Linked DNA regions of Arabidopsis thaliana. The protein of the gene in region 3 interacts with the protein of the main gene of each other region in a pairwise test. Each region holds a gene or a part of one and is shown on either strand. Other genes may lie near its edges. The genes, in order: PPR2, AT2G19650 and HAT2.

Region 1 (6,525 bases), on a different chromosome or scaffold from region 3:
AATTGTCGGTTATCCTTTCTTAATCTAATCCTTTTTATAGCAAATAAAAATAACAAGTCTAACTAACACACTGGGAGCACAATTATTACGTCCTGGATCAACTATTTTATTACATTATATCGTGTTTGTAACCGACATTGATATTTATAAATAAGAATGTGGCAGTTAATTAGGAATAACCATCTTTTTTTTTGTCAAGGAATAACCGAATCTATATACAAATGAAATGAAAGAGCACAAAAATTCCAAAAAGAAGCTTTGATCCAAATAGTTTTGGACATGGATGGCATCGTAACATCCCCCCAAGAATATACTCGATCAATTATTGGTCTCCTTGTGAAATTTTGTTTTATTTGCTCCGAAATATTGAGTTTAGTTTGAGATGGTGCCAACGCGTCATTAATCACTATTGAACTAAAATAGAGGCATTAATTAAGTAGTTATAAACTCGTTGGAAACAGAAAAGTTTTAAATCCTCATGTTAGAAGTGATGATTAAGAAGGAATAAAATATGTAATCGGAACATAAAATGTGTATAAACAAAAGAGGCAAAATAAACTTGTAGAGAAGATTAACCATATGATGGATGGATATACATAAACAATATTCTAAAAATTGCGGTTTTCTTAAAAACCTTATCGCATAAAACACACAATCCAAGTCGTAGGGTACACGTTTACCGCCGCACCGACATTGCAATTTCTTTAGGTCTCATTTTACCACATCTCCCCAAACTTACGTGCTTCCACGAAAGTATCTATATTCTTTTCTTTTTTTATAGGGAAGAACAAAACGCAAAAAGAGTTTCGTGTGAATCATCATCACTTGGTCTTATTATTATTGCCATAGTTGGATTATACATAATTTACAAAGTCAAATGTCTTTCTTTTTTTTAGCTTTTCTGTACAATGTCAGCTAACAACAACAATAACAGTAACAACAAGAGCTGACGTTATTCACAAACATAGGAATCAAACAAATGGATTATTCAGAGTGCGCTTCGATTTCGATATGAAGCGACAAATCTTTTGTTAGCCGAAAGTTTTCTCGGTGCTGTAGCACATGTACAAGAACCCGTCTTCTTCCTTGAAAGTATTGTAGAGAGAGTCCATGCGACTAGCTGCATAATTCAAGACAAGTGTTAATGGAAAGCTTTGGAAAACTGCAGGTAAAGTCTCACTCTACATGGATGATGATACTTCTTATCTTACCGGTTTGAGGAAGAGTGTTGTGTACGAAAACAAAGAGAGCTTTGGATGGATCTAACTGCATCCTTTTGCTTAGCATATGGATGAAATGTCCAACAGTCATGTCTCGTGGGACCAAGTATCTACAATAAACAAATGCGGGATACAGAGTTAAAAACAAGATTATTCACAGTTAGACAGGTTACACTTGGTTTGGTCCAACAGCTAAATTGATGTCACAACTCACTTGTTCTTCTCCATGTCTGGCAGATCTGCGTTTGAATATTTCTCAATGATCACCTACATAAGTAAATAAAACCCATCCATAAATGCTGGAATCTGATGAAGAAACCAAACCAAGAACAGATCCAAATCCCTAAATCAAATTGGTTTGGGTTGTTGTTGGTGATAGATCAAATCTCAACTAAAGAAGTCGTCTCCGACATTGACCAGAGTGATTGGATCAACACCAAACCGCACAAAATCAGTCAAATTTCAGATCCCAGATCGTATCCATCAAACCATGGCGAAGAAATTCTAAGATTGAAACAGAGATTCTAGCAAATTCGAGAGATGCAAGTCAAACGAAGACTTTTTTTTAATTGAGTAAATCATTCGAACCCTAAGGAAATCCACAATCGCACGGCAACTAAGACGGAAACACCAAGAAACAAATCAAACATGAAATTTATGAAATAACTTACAGGTATTCTATCTGGATATTTCGCAATGATGTTGTTCGACTCCTTCAATCTCTCATCTATATCCTCAAACAAAGATGAAAACTTTGCTTCAGAAGCACATTTCGAAGGAAAAAAAATTCCAAAGAATCAGAAAGAGATTAACGAAGAACAAACCAGAGGAGAATTGATCCTTGAAAGACTTGACAACAATCCCCATTACAGATTTCACGACGAATGATTCCTGACCGAATCGGTGTTTTTTTGTTTGCAGAGAGCAGAGGAAGAGGATGTGTTCAATTTTATGTTTGGTTAGTTCGTTTTTGATTGTTCGAGAAGAAACGGTAAAAGATGAGAGAAAAGAGATTATTTATAGAAAGACGACACGCACTTATCCACTTTTTGGACTTGTCCGATTTCTTGTGCACGTCACAGTTTATCTATGGGCCTCTATTCATAATTTTGGGCCCATCAAAATATATAACACGCATAGCTGCAAGAACAATCAAGTGTATTACAAACTCTTTTATTCTACTCTTTCAAGTGAGACATCGATCTCTCCTTGCAGAGAGAGAGAGAGAGAGATTCACACACAAACCGCAATCATCCTGCCGGAAGATTCTCCATCTCTTTTGTAGCAACAGTGCGATCCATAAGCTTTTGCCTCTCTTGTTCCAAGTAATAGATCTTATCATTCATACCTTCTTTTTCATACGCCTCGACCATGATCTCAAACGTTCTTGAATCGCATACGCATTGTCTCTCCTTCATTCTTATGTACACTCTTTCCATCTCTATCAGATCATCTGCTTTAGCACACGCTGATATCACCGCGTTGTAAAAGGCAGTATTCTCGGGTATCTCAAACTTAGCAGCCAACTGAACACTACTTATCACCTTGTGGAAAAGACCGGCATTGGCATATCCGTTTATGAGACAGCAAAAGGTCTTTGTGTCTGCTTTCATACCTTCGCTACGCATCTGATCAAATGTCAACTCCATGTTCTTTGCATCACCAACATCCGCAAACGCCTCGATGATATTGTTGTAGGTTGATGTTGTCCACGGAAACTCTAGCTTTCGCATGTATTCCATGACAGACGACATCTTATCATACATTCTCTTCTTCCCATAAGAACCAATCAAAATATTGAAAGTCCGAGTCTCTGGCTCAATCCCAAAGTTCCTGAACTTTTCGTACCAGCTCTCCATCATGTCTATCTTACCCATGTTTCCAAACACACTAAGGATGATATTCATAGTCCACACATCGGGTTTGCAAGCAGTACTCACCAACATATCAGACAAAACTTTCTCCATCTGATCAAACCTTCCGACCCTACCGTACCCACTTAAAACTATGTTCTGGGTCACAGTGTTTGGAGTTATCAAACGCTCGTCCATTTCCTTGTATAACGAATCCACCAAGTCAAACTGAGAAGCATCCACACAAGCCTTGAGCAGAGTGCTGTACGTGAAAACATCAGGTTGGCATTGAGGAAAGCTTTTCATTTTATCAAGAATTGAAAAAGCATCGTCGATGAGATTGCTGCGAGTGTAAGCAGCGAGAAGAGCAGTGTAGAGTTCAACAGTTGGTTCAAGTCCTTCTTCAAGCATTTCGTCGAACAGCTTCTGTGCACGATTGGGTTGACCAGATTTACCGAGAAGAACAAGCAGCTTCATGTAAGTTCCTTCCTTTGGTTGATAAAATGTTTGTTCCCTCAACATATCAAAAACCTAAGATCATCAACAAAATACCCAATTCAATCAAAATCATCTTTCAGCTAAATTATACTCGTGATTCAAAATTGAGTTCAAATTCAATCAAACATGAACGAGAAGAGAGAAAATCGAAATACCTCGAGAGCTTGTAACCACTGCTTTTTGGCGATGAGATCGGACAAAGTTTCAGTGACGGTGTTAACCCATCCGTTAGCTTTGCTTCTCCTGTCAAGTTTCTTCTTCACATTCTTTATCGGAGTTCTTCTCTGATTAACCGGCTCCGTGATTCCGGGGAATTCGCCGTCTTTCCAAAGCCTCTTCTTCGTAACACTTCCCGGAGAAGATTTCGAAGCAGCCAAAACGCATCTAACGATGCCCACATCTCTGTGACGAAACCTACGCTTACCTTCGGGGATTCTGGATGAACATAGCGAAGAAGAAAAGGAGAGAGACATTGACGCCATCGTCTTCTTCCTTCACACCTCACTGTCACTCTGTTTACGGATAATTCCCGTCGATACTCATTTCGGTTGGATATGGTAAAATACCGGTTTATATAACCGAACCGGAAACACATTTGATCCGTTCAAATCCCTTAAAAACCGGATCGTATTTTTAAATATGATCACATAATTGATCATTTAAAAATAATACGAGGCTATTTTTTTGGTGTTCAAAAAGATAAAAATAATAATATGAAGCTCGCATCTCTGTAAGTATATATATATATAAAACTAAAAGGAAAATCACGAATTATAGTATCAAAAATAGATTTAATAATAAAAATAAGGATTGGTGACTGGTGCACAAAAGGTGGTAACAAACAAACACAATCTTGACTAAATTCTATAGAAATATCCCAAAGAAAAAAAAAACAAATCCAGAAAAATATTGTATATTGATTTTGATGATGTCGATGTTGATGTGCAGATATTACTCTTTTATCTATTGCTTCCGTTGGAGTTTAGTTTTGTGGCAACAGTCTATTGTATGACTATCTGGGGATTTGGGAGTTTATCCGGCCGGCAAGCATACATTCATTGGTGTTGTTTGCAACGTTTACAACATTGTTATCATCTATCTTTTATTTACCATAGTAAGCTCTCTCTCTCTCTCTGGCTCTCACTTATTGATGAATATATAGATAAGTAAACTATTAAACTGGTTTTGATAAGTTTTTAATGCGTGAAACAATTAGGACAAAATGCCGCCGGAGACTAAGACCTTCAAGTACATGCCGTTTTGGCTATCGTTAGTTCGTTTCATCAACGCTGGAATTTGGACTGCTTATTCTTTGATCTACATAATTGATATCTACGTCCTTGTAAGTCCTTTTTTGTTTTTGTTTTGATCTACATAATTGATATCCTTTTTTGTTTTTGTAAGAAGGGCGAGCTAAAGAGTTTGAAGAGCTTAAAGGCGAGCTGAAGAGCTTAAGGCGAGCTGAAGAGCTTGAAGACGAGTTGGAGAGCTTGAAGACGAGCTGGGGGACTTGGTGAAGAGAACGAGTTGATAAGCTTGACGAAGAGGAGCGAGCTAACGAGCTTCTTGAGAAGGGCTCGCTGACGAGCTACTTGAGAAGGACGAGCTGACGAGCTATTTGAGACGGACGATCTTCGTGAGACGGGCGAGCTGACAATGTGCTGTCTCGGTGATAGTCAAGCGAGACGACACGTAGTCCATATTAGAAAGGGGTCAAGCCACACGTAGTTCATATTAGAATAAGTGAGCTAGGCCGTCATTGGAGGTAGGTCGGCAGGTAGTTGACGAGCCGGCAGATGTGCGACAAGCTGGATGAACCGTGGTAGAGAGACGAGTTGGATAAACCGAGTTGTTTGCTGAAGGTCTAGACGAGCTGGACGACGAGATAGGTGGACTATGCAGTCAATGGACGAACTGCCGCTAGGCGAGGAGGTAGATGAGTTTTGTTTTCGAGGGATGAGCTGATAGCTAGACGAGGAGTTGGACGAGCTGTATAGATGACAGCTAGACGAGGAGATGGTCGTTGAGTGGAGCATGAAGACGAGCTGAGAAGCTTGAAGACGAGTTGAGGAGCTTGAAGACGAGCTTAGCAGCTTGTTGAGCTTAATGGCGATCTGAAGAGTTTGAAGAGCTTAAAGACGAGTTGGAGAGCTTGAAGACGAGCTGAGGGACTTGGTGAAGAGAACGAGTTGATAAGCTTGTCGAAGAGGAGCGAGCTAACGAGCTTCTTGAGAAGGGCTCGCTGACGAGCTACTTGAGAAAGGCGAGCTACTCTGTGTCTGCGTGTCAGGCGGAATTCCCCCCTTCGACATGACATGCTATTCCGTATTTATAGCACTACGCGTGTAGGGCATTCATCGAGGGATTTGACGAAACTACCCTTCGCCTTAATACTCCTCCTTGGTTTGGAACTTATTTTGGGCTTTTGACTTGGGTTTGGGCATTGGGCCAAGTAGGCCCAATCCGACCCCTAATAGTTCGGCAAGGAGGAGTATATGATTTTAACCCCCCCCCCCATTAAATCTCCTGATACGTATTGAAACTTGAGGGTTTATGGTTTATGTTATGTTTCACTTATTTTGATCGTGTGTTGAGTTTTGTAATGAGGATATTATTATCATGTCTGTTACTTTTGGACTTGTTAAATTTTCGTAAACGTTGTTGCTTTTGTTGTATCGGGGCACACTTATCCGGATTTATCGATTATGCAATTGCCCTACTACATCACATTATTATTTAAATTTGTCTTCAAGTTTTTATTTCGCATAGCACATATATAAAGAAAACGCTTCGTTCAAACTCGTCTGTGAACTCCATAAAACTTATTAAAAAATCCGTCCAAAAAAATATATAGTATAGTTTGGATCGCATGAAAACATATCTAAACATAAGTCTTTGTTAGGGGTCGGATTGGGCCCTTCTCAAGTAGTTCATCAGCTCGCTCCTCTTCGTCA
Region 2 (7,349 bases), on a different chromosome or scaffold from region 3:
GACGGCGGAGCTAAACCGGAGACGCTGCTTAGGGTTGCAGAAATCGGTGGAAGAGGAAGGAGTTTGGTGGCGGCACAGTCTCTTCGTGCTGGACAAGTTATCCTCAGAGAGTCTCCTCTCCTTCTCTACTCTGCTTTTCCATTTCTCTCCTCCTCTGTTTCTCCTTACTGCGACCATTGTTTCCGTTTGTTAGCTTCATCGGCGCATCAGAAATGTCAATCTTGCTCTCTCGTCTCCTTTTGTAGCCCTAATTGCTTCGCCTCTCATACTCCTTGGCTCTGCGAATCTCTTCGCCGGCTTCACCAATCATCCTCCTCTGCATTCTCCGATCAACCTTCTGATCGTCAAGTCCAAGCTCGTTTCCTCCTCTCTGCTTACAATCTCGCCGCTGCTTCTCCTTCTGATTTCCAGATTTTGCTCTCTCTCCAAGGTAGTGGCAGCAGCAATGGAGATCCTTCTTGTTCTGCGGGTGATTCTGCAGCTGCTGGGTTTCTTCATTCTCTTTTATCTTCCGTGTGTCCATCTCTTCCGGTGTCTATCTCGCCGGATCTCACGGCGGCTTTACTGTCAAAGGATAAAGTTAACGCCTTTGGTCTGATGGAACCGTGCTCTGTTTCGAATGAGAAAAGATCTGTGCGAGCTTATGGGATTTATCCAAAGACTTCGTTTTTCAATCATGATTGTCTTCCTAATGCTTGTAGATTCGATTATGTTGACTCTGCTTCTGATGGTAATACTGATATCATCATTAGGATGATTCATGATGTTCCTGAAGGTAGAGAAGTTTGTTTAAGCTACTTCCCTGTGAACATGAACTATTCGAGTAGACAAAAGAGATTGCTTGAGGATTACGGTTTTAAGTGTGACTGTGATCGGTGCAAAGTGGAATTTAGTTGGTCTGAAGGTGAGGAAGATGAGAATGAGATTATGGAAGAGATGGAGGATCAAGATGAACAAGAAGAGATGGAAGATTCAGTAGGTGAGAATGAAGAAGAAGTTTGTGGAAATGGTGTGGATGATGAATCTAATTTTCCTCATGCTTACTTTTTTGTGAGATATATGTGTGAGAAGGAGAATTGTTTTGGCACTCTAGCTCCGCTTCCCCCGAAGACTCATGATGCTTCGAGAGTTCTTGAATGTAATGTTTGTGGAAGCGTTAAGGAGGATGAAGTTGGCGTAAATCAATGAGGAAGGTTAGCTTAAAGAATTGATCAGCCGAAAATCTCAAGCTTGTTTGATGCAGCCAGACCCAAACAACAAGAGACTTGTCTTGGACCACATCGTTAATCAATGTTGTTTGTTGTTTGATGTTTACTTTTTTTTTTTTACTCAGTTTTGAAAATTCGATAAGTATTCTAGCTCTAGAATTCCATATCTAGGTTTTTTGTTTTCTCCTAGATAGTCTGAAGAATCAATTGTAATGGTCTGTGGAATTACACGGAAACAGTTTTGTTGTAATAATGGAGCATCAGTTTTCTTTGGTTGAATGAAAAATCATAATTTTTTTGACTTTTTAAGTTGAAAACTGCAGAATTACATGGCTTGATGATGTTTGCATTGTTAATCTCTATTACTCTTCAGTGTGCTCAGTGCCTGAAACCATAGCTTCCTTGATAGGGATCAATGTATTGGTAAACCAAATTGTGTAATAGTTTTTCCATAAAATAGATTCAATAGAACCAGTGTAACAAAAAATTATTAGGGGGCTCTGTTTTAAGGTCGCAACATGACGGTGACACAAACATTTTTTAGTGATTAACTTGTTCTCATTCTGTTCCAAGTTCAACAACACAAACTGAGTTTTTTGGCTTCTCTATCAGAGAACTAATGTGATTCTACAACACAACCTGCTCTGACTGACTTACTCTGCTATGTTCTGTTTTGCTCTGCTCTGTTCTCACTTCCACGTCTCTGTTTTTGTCATTGACATTTCGACTTGTAGGAACTTAAACATTTAGTGGATTGACTGGCAAGATTGATCCAACCTTTTCCAATCTTACATCCATAAATAAGTTGATATTTTTTCTGGTTTTTATTTGGCAAACACTAATGCACCCTAGGGTTCAATGAGATATATATATATTACACTAACACAAGTACACAACCAAATGTTATTGTAGGGACTTGTAATAATTTAACAGACCCAGATTCCTCACAAATTCTACCAAATTTGCGAGTCATTCAAGCTAGCAAACATTATCATCTATAAATAAATAGTTTTCTAAACATAGTAAAGAACATAATTTTAAAATTCGAAACGTTCCTGATAAATTTTCTTCTCACATTCTAAAGAACAAAAGTATAGATCAGCTCCGTCCTCGGGAAGCGTACGAACGAAAGGGAGCTTGCATCGAGAGTTGCACACGCAGCAAAGTGGTCTACAAATAGAGTGGTTGGATACAAATGTTCCTATCCATGTTAACGCTCCTGGCATGGAATATGCGTAAGTATCTATAACGCAGGAAATATGCAATGTGATCCCACACTCATTGCATGTATAGAACCATTTTTCTGGGTTCACAGTTGTTTCGCATGCTTCACACCAATATTTGCCAGCCACGCCCATTTCGCCATAAGATAAGAAGAGAGGATGATCGTCGTACCTATGCCTCATTACCTTTTGCGGTAAAATAGCACACTTGAAGCACAAACCAAATTCACAATCATCGCAACTCAATTTCCCGTCTCCATCACACTCACTACAACGTTTGGAGTGATCTGTAGAGTAGTGTAAAGGATGTTGATGGCTTTTGTGCTCAAATGGTTCTGTAACTGTAGCGCACCGTACATCTATCCTTAATTCCTTAGATTCATAGGAGAAACCGGTGAACAGTTGACGGCAAATACTACACCTATGTAACAAGTAGGTGCCATAATTTGGGGATAGTTCGAGTGGCTGGTTGTGGCACACATGACGTTTCTTTAAAGGAAGCTTGGCACATTTTTCGTGGATTATGAAATCGCATCTCTTTCTCGCGCAAGCGTAGAACGGTTCTGAACAAATCTGGAAGACACATGCGGTACAAACTACACTTTCTGGTAGATTCCAGCCACGGTAAATTCGTAAGTTATGCTTATGGCCGTAATGGTCTATCGTGTTGTCATCAATCACCTTGAATGGCGCAGTTTCCTCTTCTTCGGGTGTCCCTTCCAGTTCGATCATGTCCCATACATCCCTTCTGGTTGCGCATCTTGAATGAACAAAATAATCAAAACATTTGGAGCAAGAATAAGCCCCGTAGAACCCATCCACATTTTTACGACAAACTCTGCATTTCCCGTCTCCATGTCCGAGGCGAGGGGTGTAAGAGATGCGGTGGTCGTGGCGGTTGATGTTTATGACGCGAGGTAGATCGATACATTCCCGATGAATCATGAAATTGCACTGAAGACAGAAATAAGGGCTACGGTCACCTAGCGTCCCACAAGCATTGCAAGTGAAGTCAATGCGTCTTGGAACAAGGTGAAGTTGATGTTCATGGGTCCTCGGGCTTTTAACAAGAACCGGTGGTGGGTTTTTCATACATGATCTGCATATGCTAAAATTACAAACACCACAGTGGTGAAGCTGGCGATGGATTCCATCAAACTCCTCGCGGCAAAGAAGACATTTCTTGTCGGCGTAACCAGGGACTTCATATCTAAGTGACTTGAGTGGGTGTTGGGGGTGAGAAGTGTGGTATGCTTCTGGACTATTATGATCGATACAATCCAGACTGATGAAAAACTCGCATTGATGACATGTGTAGAAATGTTTCCAGCTATTATGTTGATGGCCACACCCTTTGCAATCTCTGAGTGTTTCGTGCGCTTCATGGGAGAGTTGGAGTGGATGCTCGTGTAGGTAGGAGTTTTCAGCAAGAACAAGTAGGGCTGGTCTCCTCGCGCAAATCAAATCCAACTGGAAATCACATTTGTTACAGCGATAACCGACACTGAAAAATTCTCCACAGAAACTACAATTAGAAACTCTGGTATGTAGGAGGATCAGCTTGAGAGGATGGACTGGATGGTAAGGGTGGTCGATTTCTGGTAACGGCTTGGCGCACTCTTCATGGAACACAACATCACATCCCGGCTCATTGCATCGGTGTCCTCCGTAAATGTAACTGCAACCGGGATGTTTGGAAATGAAGCTTGTATTATCTTCATCGGTCGAGTAGCATCCTTTACACTTGGTGAACTCGAAGCGTGTAAAAGGTATCAACGGATGCTCATGAAATGGTAACAATTTTTCAAGGCGGGATGCTTCTTCGTCCATGCCTTCATTAAACAAAGCTAGAAAGTTTTCCATGGTGATGTTTTCTTACTTCCACCAAAACACAAAGCTCTTCTCTTCTGCACTAGTTTCAGACTTGGTTTCTTGTTTTTCTCTCTTTCTTTTCTTTCAGGATTTTTTTTCAAGTGGTTTATCATTTTCAGACTTTGCAAATAGTTAATATGAATTCGCACCACAGAAATGATTCTTTTCATTACTGAGATTGAGACCACATGTGTTGGCTTCATCCTTGCATTATTTAATTAACTCAGACCACATATGTTGACTCTGCAACTATTGTGTCCGGCCAAAACATAAATAATTGAATGAATACAAAAAAGGTTTTTTCTTGCATTAAATGGAATAGAAGTTTATGGATAGAATAGTTTAGAATTTAAATGGATGGAACTGTACATTTTGTGGAAAAAACAGTTTGAAGTCTGAACCACACAACTCCTTGGCCAAGTAGCTTTGGAGGTAGACTTTGCTGCATTCAAGTCTCTGAAACCAAAGTTTTATTATTGTATTGCATCCACTAACTTTTATGTAATTTCAGACCAAAAGATTTGTATTTTTGTCTTTAAGACCAGGATTGGGCCAATCTTTGTTTTTTAATTTTTATACAGCCAAAAGTAAGTTCTATTTCCACCATCAGATTGTATAACCCATTTGAATAACACTATAAAGTTAACATATATATACCATCTGAAACATTCGAAGAATCATTTGTCAAATCACATGTATTCAAATCACTCAGAGCAAATTTTGATTAATAAAGAAGTTAAAAAGACATACTGCGTATACATGAGCTGCTCTTGCTTTAGCACAAAACAGAGACCAGATTCCAGTTCCAGCTCTAATGTCAAGAAACTTGTTCTTTTAAATATCCTGTTAAGAAATTCTGTTTCTAAGATCATTGAGACTGCTGCTGACTGGATTCAAAAGATTGATAATTGTGGAAAAAGCGCATAAGCTTGAGGTTAAAAAAAAACTATTGTAAAACATACTTTTGGAATTAAATGGTACAAAGTTTTTCTTCATTAAAACATGCCTTACCAATCACTACTAGAGTAGTTATTAGAGCGGTTGAAATTATAATAACAGTTTAAAGAACAAATGTATAAAACAACATCGGCTTTGGAAACGACCTTAACAATGGAAGGAAGCTTGCATTGAGAGTTACACACATAGCAAAATGGTCTACACATAGAGGTGTTGGATACCACCAAGTCTTCCTCCCATCCTATTTTGGAACCTGGCATATAATATGAGAAGTCTCCCACAACGCATGAAATATGCAATATGACACCACAATCATTGCATGTATAGAACCATTTCTTCGAATTCACTTTTGTTTCACATGCTTCACACCAGTATTCTCCATCCACACTACTTTCACCACACGACAAGTAAAGAGGATGATCGTCGTATCTATGCCACTTTACTTTCTGCGGTAAAAGAGCACACTTGAAGTCCAAACTATAGTCACACTCATCACAGCTAAAGCTTCCTATATCTAGATCCATGTTTTTGCCACATTCCGTACAAGACTTAGAACTACGTTTCGAAAAGTATAAGGGATGTTGATGGCTTTGGTGCACCAATGGTTCTCGAATTGAACCACATCGTACATCTAGAGTAACCATACGAGTAAGACACTCGTACCTGAAACCGGTGAAACTTTGCCAACAAAGATCACATGAAGTTTCGTCTGAAGTATCATTTGTGACTAGGGTAAATGGTAGGTTGTCGCAAACATGCCGTTTCTTCCGAGGCAGGTTAGCACATTTTTGGTGGAGAATGAAGTCACAATTCTCGCAACTGTAGAACGCATCTGAACAGATCTGGAAGACACATGCTTTACATAGTGTGCTTTCATGGAGAATCCTCCCATCCTTGTTGATTACTAAGTTATGATCATGGCTAAAATGTTTGATCGTGTTATCATCAATCACCTCGAATGGCGCATCTTCCTCTGGCTCTTCGGGTGTCCCTTCTAGCTCTATCATGTCCCATACATCCTCGTCCGTTGCGCATCTCGAGTGAACAACATAGTTAGAACATTTTGAGCAAGAATAACCCCCGTAGAAGCCATCAACCTTTTTACGACAAACCCCGCATGTATTTTGCCCATGTCCAAGACGACGAGTGTAGGAGATGCGATGATCGTGGCGGTTGATGTTTATGACGCGGGGCAAATCGATACACTCCCAATGAATCATGAAGTTGCATTGAAGACAGAAATAAGGGCTTTGATCAGCTTGAGTCCCGCAAGCATTGCAAGTGAAACCGAGAGGTTTTGAAAGAAGATAAAGTTGATGCTCATGGGTGGTCGGGCTTACAACACTAAGCGGCGGTGGGTTTTCCATACAGCCGCCACATATGGTAAAGTTACAAACATCACAGTGGTGAATTCGTCCGTCAAACTTATTCCCGCAAAGAAGACACTTGTTGTCGGCGTAATCGGGTGCTTCTTCACATCTAAGGAGCTTGAGTGGGTGTTGGGGGTGTAAAACGTGGCTAGCTTGTGGAAAAAGTTTGGTACACTCCACATGAAAGCGTAAATCGCATTTATTACATTTGTAATGAACAGCATCGAAAACTCCCCATTTGCATGTTTTGCAAAGTTGCACAAAACCGTCACGGGTTCCATCAGAGAGCTGAATCGGATGCTCGTGGACAGTGGATTCTTCAAGAATAAATTCCAAAGGCAACCTCGTCGCGCAACGAAAATCCAACTTGAAGTCACAAATCGAACAAAGATAACCATTTTCAAACGAAGATGGACACTGGCTACAAGAAGCAAGTGGTTCGACATTTATGAGGAGCTTTAGAGGATGGTCTGGATGAGAATAGTGGTTGATTTCTGGTAACGGGTCGGCACACTCTTTATGAAACACAGATTCACACCCCAACTCATTGCAATGGTAGCCTCCATATATGTAACCAACATACCCACACCCTTTACAAGCCTTGTAGGAAAAACGAGTAAAAGGTAACAGCGGATGGTTATGAATTGGTGGTACCTCTACTTTTTCCATGGTGATCCAAATCAAACCACAGATCTCTTTTGTGATGTTTTTCTTTTCTA
Region 3 (6,699 bases):
ATCAACAGTCTGCCCCACCAAGACTCAACCGCAAGACCAAGGAGCCCTTGCATCCTTAAAATGAGCAAATAGTTCAATCGCTATACTAATTCATCCAATGTCGAATAAGCTCAGTGATGATTGTGTGACACAATAATCCTTCTTCTTATATGAATAATAAAAGCATACTATCTGAATAAATTGAATTAATCAATAGAGAAACGACTCATGAGATCTTCATCACCAGTTTTCTTCAAGGCTTCAATGATTTTCTCAACATGAGAAACTTTCAATCTCATTTTCTTGTCAAGCATTGATTTCGCAAGCTTAGCAGCTTCCCAAGAATTCCCCTGTTGGCAGAGACCGAGCAAAAGAACCGCATGTATATCCGAGTCTATTGTTGATTTCACATCCTTCTTCTCGATTTCTTGATACAGAAGGAAACAATCGAGATACCTTTCCAACAAACATAACTCCCTGAAAACATGACTGCACGCAAGACCATCAGGTCTAACCCCGCGGACCAACATCAGACGGAAAATCTTTTCAGCCTCTTCCCATCTTTTCATACGGATTAGCGACACAGTAGCCGAACTAAAACACTCAGAAAGAGAAACACCGCCTAGTTTCACCAACTTATCAATCAACTTAGAAAGAGCCTTCACATCCTCATCATTCTCCAAAACCCCCTGAATCAAAACACAAGCAGTAACACGATTCGGCATGCACCCTCGGTTTCCCATTCTATCCAATACCAACAACGCCTCTTCAACCCTCCTCTTCTCACAAAACGCTTGAATCACCAAAGTATAAGTAACCGCATTCGGACTAATCAATCCACCACCGTCTTCTTTCTCCATCTCCGCCAACAACTCTAACGCTCTCTCCATATCACCAGACTTGCAAACTCCTTCAAGAATCCTAGAATACGTCACACTGTTAAGCACGCAATCATGCTTACTCATCTCCTTAGCTAACCTCCAAGCGTCATCAATCTTACCCGCATTGCAATACCCATTGATCATCGACGTATAAGTAATCACATCTGGATAAAGACCAACACAATCCATCTCTTTTATCAACATATCAGCTATATTCAAATCTCCCTTATCAGCAAACAACCTAATCACCAAATTATACGCAACAGTGTCTGCACATACATTAAATTCAGGAAACTTCCTTAATACCCACAATGCCTCATCAGCGAGATTCGCTTGATTACACAGAGTCAGAACAATCCTCATCGTCTTAACATTAACAAAGCATTCTTCTTTCCGATAAGATTCAATAACGTATTTGATCAAATCTGGCTTTGCTCTAATCTTAAGAATGTCGCAAGCTTTGGTATACATGTAAGCACTGTGTCTATGGCTGGATAGAGTTCCTGCCCATATGAAAAACCTAAGACCCGATTGAAATTGATTTGGATCGCATCTTCTTAGTACCTCGTTGATACAAGAGGAGTCTAATTGTACATTAGCCGAAGCTAATTCTTTCTCGAGATTACTTGTGCATCCTTGAAGCTGGCCGTATAATCTCTCGGCGGCTGAGACAGTTGTTAAAAAACGTAAAGCTGAGATTTTTGAGGGCTGAGATCGTAATGAAGGAGATACCAGACGAGAAATCAATGAATTTGGCATCTGGGTCGCTATAAGTGTAGCGATTGATGAAAGATTTCGTTAAGAAAATCGTAAGAATGAGACTTGAGTGAGAGAAATAGGAGAGTTTCGCTTTCGCAGATGGAAACGACGACGAAAGACTAAACGTATGGGCCGACATAATAATGTAGCCCATTAAGACCCAATAAGAATTGCTCATACATCTTTGTCAGATCTGAATCGGAAAAGCAATTGAAGTCAGATTAGGTCACAAGATTTCATGATTTCGTTAAGAACTTCAAATAAGCTACACTTCTTTTTCTTTTCTTTTTTGAGCAACTGCATATAAGCTACACTTATACCATGCTCAGAAACTGTGTATTTATCTAGAAGACGTTTGTGAATTTTTGGTTTAATTTAGAACTCTTGTAAGATATCAAAAAAAGATAGTTTCATAATTTTTGGTTAATATAGCAAGTTTGTAACTAATTTTTGCTAATTTAAATCTTTTTAAGGTTGCATCATACATAGGACTAGTTCATGAGAAGGCCAATCATCCAAAATTACAATGACCCCACACAGATAGACTATATAACGATAACGAAAAATACCAAAACACCCTTTTCCCACCACTAAAATAAAAAATCACGATCGTGGACGCAAGGCTTCAAAATTCAGCCCATGAGCCACCTGACCAGCACAAGCAACCCACGGATTGATAGAAACGGGCCTGTGATTGTGGTGATGGTTCGATGATGATGGGCCACCCACACGCTCGCACGAAGGACACATGATGAGTGTAGTTGGTGGAGTCATCTGACCGTAGAATTGTGGAGACAGCTTGAGAGTTCGAAGCTCCATAGCCTCTTTCTGAAGTCTCCGGTTCTCTTCCGTTAGCTTCTCTACGCACCGTTTCAAGTATTCGCAATCTACCTCCGTTTGCTTTAACTTGGTTCTGTAAAACCAAATCGGACCTTGTAAGTAAAAACTTCTACACAAGGGGGTATAAATGTAATTTTACAATTTTGGTGTTAAGACAAGAAAATCTCACCTAGCTCTTCTGTTTTGGAACCACACTTCCACTTGTCTTGCCGTCAAGTTCAGCTTCTTAGCCAAAGCTAGCTTCTGTTTCTGTAAATTATGATAATAACCTTGGTTATTTCAAAGTAATTACGATAATTATCATTTGATTCCTCTGACTTTTTTACACTTACGGGATTGAGAGTGTTGTGTTCTTTGAAAGTCTCTTCGAGAAAAGCAGACTGATCTTTTGATAACCTGAGCTTCTTCCTCGACGTTTCGCCCCCGTCTTCTTCTTCATCTGAGGTTCCACGTGAGTACCCTCGATCCGGAGTGATCTCGTCGTGATCGTCGCCGGAGCCAACGCCGGTTCCGGAGATTCCTTCTCTCTCACTTCTCTTCCCGCTAATGGTGCTTGAGATCGTACTGTTTGGTGACGAAACTCCTGTGTCTTCCTCGCAGTTAACCGTTGATGGAAAACTGTTCACGTCTATCTTGCGAAGATCTGCAAAGAGCAATCAAATTTTAAGTTTGAGATCTGTTTTTATTTTACTTGGAAACGAAGAAAAGTCTCATACTTCAATTCTGAAATCTGTTCTGTTTCTTTAAAAAAAAAAACAGAGAAGATTTAAGTATATACCTGATGTAGGATCGAATGTTTGGTTCCATGGGAGTCTCTGGAGATTGTTTGATAATGAAGAGTTAGGATTCAGATTCATCTGAAGAGGATTGTGATTTTGTGAAAACCCTAAGCTTAGGCTCAAACCTAGATCTTCTTTGCCCATCATCATGTTTTTTATTTCCTTTCACAAGAACTCAACAGTTTCAGGAATTATATTTCCTTATGAGAATAGAGAAAGAAAGAACACGAAATGGTTTGTTCTTTCTGAGATAGAGATGAGAAATGGTGTTTGTTTCAACTCGAAGTTAGGACTCTTTGTGGAAGAGAAATAGAGAGAGATGTGAGATGGTAATGAAGAAGAGAGGGGATTAATATAGTACTTTGAATGATGAGAGATTTTGTCAGGTGGCTAATTACAATCCATCATTATTGTTTCTTTGTTTTTGGACTTGTATTACTTTATCTCCAACTTGTGTCCCCCCTTTGGCCTTTGCCATGTCTTTCTTTTTGTACTTTCTCAATATTTGTGTTTTTCTTTTTCTTTCACAAACATTTTTAGTTTATTCCTTACAAGAACCCATGCATAATAAGATGGCAGTTTGTCCAAAACAAATAAGATGGCCAATATGTTTTCAAGTGTACACATGTATATGTGTTTTGTGTCTGAAGATTTAAAGCCAATGTCTTTAAAACCAATAGAAATGTCCGGACCACTCTGAGAAAGTAATCTACAATTAAGTGAATCATCAAGGTGCGATGTTTTTTGTATATGGATAACGCAATTTGCACTACTTGTGTTAATTTTCATGATCCATATCATGTAGTATGTCTCAAAGTTGATAAATACAATAATTCTCGTACTTCGTTTTGTCTTAATCAAGTACACGTCATTATACTCAAAGTACATGTATTATGTGGATATCAATAAAAGAAAGTATAGAAAATAGTATCTTGATTAGTTACGGCATACCGAGCTGAGTCAAATCTCCAATAGTGTAGCCAATTATTTGTCCAAATATTTTTTAAAGAGAAAAGGGAAAATAGTATTTGAGGTTGGATATAATGGAATATTGACTAATTGGAGTGGTTGGTACAAAACACAATCAAAAAGAATCTGAACTTGTTCAAAGTTGTGGACCAACCAACGGTTATGAACCAATGATATACGTGTGAGATGAATATTTGCACATAAATATCATCATCATGGTTTCTACTTTCATCAACAATGACATTTTAAAGCTACTACTTTTTTTCGTTTCTTCCGTCAGTAAAACCTTTAAATGTTTGTGCTTTTTCCTTTAGAAATAAAAATTTAAATGTGAGCAATATTGGTCAAGTGTGTGTAAATGTATAACCACTTTGCGTACAGTAACATGGAGATAGGAGCATGTGGGTCATAACAGCGTGATCGTGCGTGTTGTGTTGTTTCCTCACTCGCCTGCTCCTTATCATGTGTAACCATCCGCCTCAATCAATGCTAACTTGTTAATTATTTGATTCCTTTAACTGCTGCCTACTTTTTTATCGTCTAATATTCCTTTCTTTTCACAAAAACTAGTTGTAGACTAACTTCAGTTTTTGTAAATAGTTGTTTTACAATGCCTGAAGCATGTAAACTTAATTGTTCTAGTAAACTACTAGTGATCGTTGCATAATCATAATTCACAATCCAAATAAAAGTGTCATTAGTGTATATGTAAACAATAAAAAAATGATGGTTTGGATATACTTTTGTAAATATATTTCATGTTTATTTAGAAAAAAATAACATGTAAACTAAAATTCCAAAAACAATTTAATAATTTCCGCCTAACGTAGACATGTATATAGTGAAATTATGAAGAGATACGGCAATGAGCGACAATAATTGAGAGCAAAAAGATGGGTTTCGTGGTGAGAGATATTATGAAAAGTGGGACCCAACGCTTTACATAAGATCCGACAAGATGTCGGAGTTGTGTTTCAGTGTGATCTGGCTGTCCCACGTGTTCACTCTGACTTGTGCCACACGCACTGACCAAGTGCGTTATATCCACGCGCGCATGTTTATTTGTAATCATTTACCCCTCAACGAAAAAGAGAGTCCGCAAAGCATGATGATTGATGATCAATCATTTATTAGTGATCCTCCAATAGCTTTTATGTAAGTATTGGCAAAAACATCGAGTGTTCTTGGTGTTGAGGTTCGAGCATGTCTAAGTTTGAGTTCGGCACCAAGGTAATATATATATCGGATTCAAATTTGGTCTACTAGTCTAACTTTTAGCACTTAATTGAGCATGACCGCGGATCTTGCACTAGGGTGAAACAATTCTTAACGAGAACATATTCAAGTAGCATAGCTTAAATGAGAATTTCATGTTCTATCCGTAATGGTGAATGGCTTAAATTTCTGCATTTAGCCCCTACTAGCACTTTGGTATCGTTAATTTGTAGATATAGCAAATTGAGATATGGCGTCCAAACAGCAACTTGTTATTTCACATTATTCCGATTTTTTCAGTAGAGCCTCGTCTATTTGGAGGTAGTGCAGAAGGGTATGAGCATTCTCTTACAGTCTTACCTTAGTTTCTCAATTTACATGATAAGTGAAATATTGAATTGAATACACCATTTCGATTACTTAGTTTCCTTCGGAAATAAAATATATATATATTATTTGAAATAAAAGCTGCAGGCCTACATCACAGATCCAAATCCAAAGTTGAGTACCACAACACAAAACAAAATCATAGGCAACGGAATATTTTAAAAGTATGTGTTGTAATCATTTTATATGTTTGGCAATTGCGTAGGACTAATAATCATGGTTTTAGTTGCTTAATCATATGTTTCATGCATGTGTATATTAGCTTTGAATGTTCTTTACAGCATTTTGGCTGTAGAACGAGGTCATCATTGGGGATATTTTATACTCTCTGTTTTTTCCTTAACCTAACTAACCAATTATTCTCTAAACAAATAGTACATTAGATTTTGTCTAATTGTCCTCTCACATGTACTGAGATCTGTTAACTGGAATATTTGATTATTTTTTAGATTTAGGAAAAATCAATCAACATGCATAATTATGATCATCACACAAAGCAGCTTATTCTTATTCTAGAGAAGCTCGGAATTTGAGGTTTGCATCACATGATTGTTGGACTCTTATAGTATTTTAAAAATAAACACTAAGCTTTAATTATTAACGAAAATGCGTATGTGACAGTTTTGATTATTTTTTGACGTTAAAATTGAGGCTTGTTATTACTAATGGTAATAATATGATCGATCATTGAGATTCCCATGCCAAAAATAAAGATAGGGATTATAATTTCTTCAATGATTTTGTTTAAAGTCATAATTTCTTCAATGATTATAAGGATAAAAAATGAAAATCATATTGGAGAATCTTGAGAGAGAGCTTCGAAAGTTGGGTGGTGCGTAAAATCTTATGGGCTACCCATGTGGAATTGACGTGGCGCACATATTCTTATG

The links.
Region 1: the proteins of HAT2 (region 3) and PPR2 interact in a two-hybrid assay, tested with the Arabidopsis thaliana proteins (one large-scale study listed by BioGRID).
Region 2: the proteins of HAT2 (region 3) and AT2G19650 interact in a two-hybrid assay, tested with the Arabidopsis thaliana proteins (one large-scale study listed by BioGRID).

What each region holds. Positions count from the first base shown.
Region 1 is NC_003074.8:1,954,188-1,960,712, forward strand, and holds PPR2 (Tetratricopeptide repeat (TPR)-like superfamily protein), read right to left. Parts: upstream 4,118-6,525; 5' UTR 4,054-4,117; coding exon 3,727-4,053; intron 3,605-3,726; coding exon 2,471-3,604; 3' UTR 2,222-2,470; downstream 1-2,221. Other genes in the region: ATG8H (Ubiquitin-like superfamily protein), read right to left, coding at 1,032-1,120, 1,212-1,330, 1,435-1,487, 1,892-1,947, 2,045-2,087.
Region 2 is NC_003071.7:8,491,410-8,498,758, forward strand, and holds AT2G19650 (Cysteine/Histidine-rich C1 domain family protein), read right to left. Parts: upstream 4,484-7,349; 5' UTR 4,295-4,483; coding exon 2,246-4,294; 3' UTR 2,060-2,245; downstream 1-2,059. Other genes in the region: ASHR2 (ASH1-related protein 2), read left to right, coding at 1-1,188; AT2G19660 (Cysteine/Histidine-rich C1 domain family protein), read right to left, coding at 5,311-7,349.
Region 3 is NC_003076.8:19,214,260-19,220,958, forward strand, and holds HAT2 (Homeobox-leucine zipper protein 4 (HB-4) / HD-ZIP protein), read right to left. Parts: upstream 3,749-6,699; 5' UTR 3,389-3,748; coding exon 3,238-3,388; intron 3,103-3,237; coding exon 2,792-3,102; intron 2,709-2,791; coding exon 2,629-2,708; intron 2,533-2,628; coding exon 2,223-2,532; 3' UTR 2,012-2,222; downstream 1-2,011. Other genes in the region: AT5G47350 (alpha/beta-Hydrolases superfamily protein), read left to right, coding at 1-59; AT5G47360 (Tetratricopeptide repeat (TPR)-like superfamily protein), read right to left, coding at 186-1,619. UniProt on the Arabidopsis thaliana protein: Probable transcription factor that plays a role in auxin-mediated morphogenesis. Negatively regulates lateral root elongation.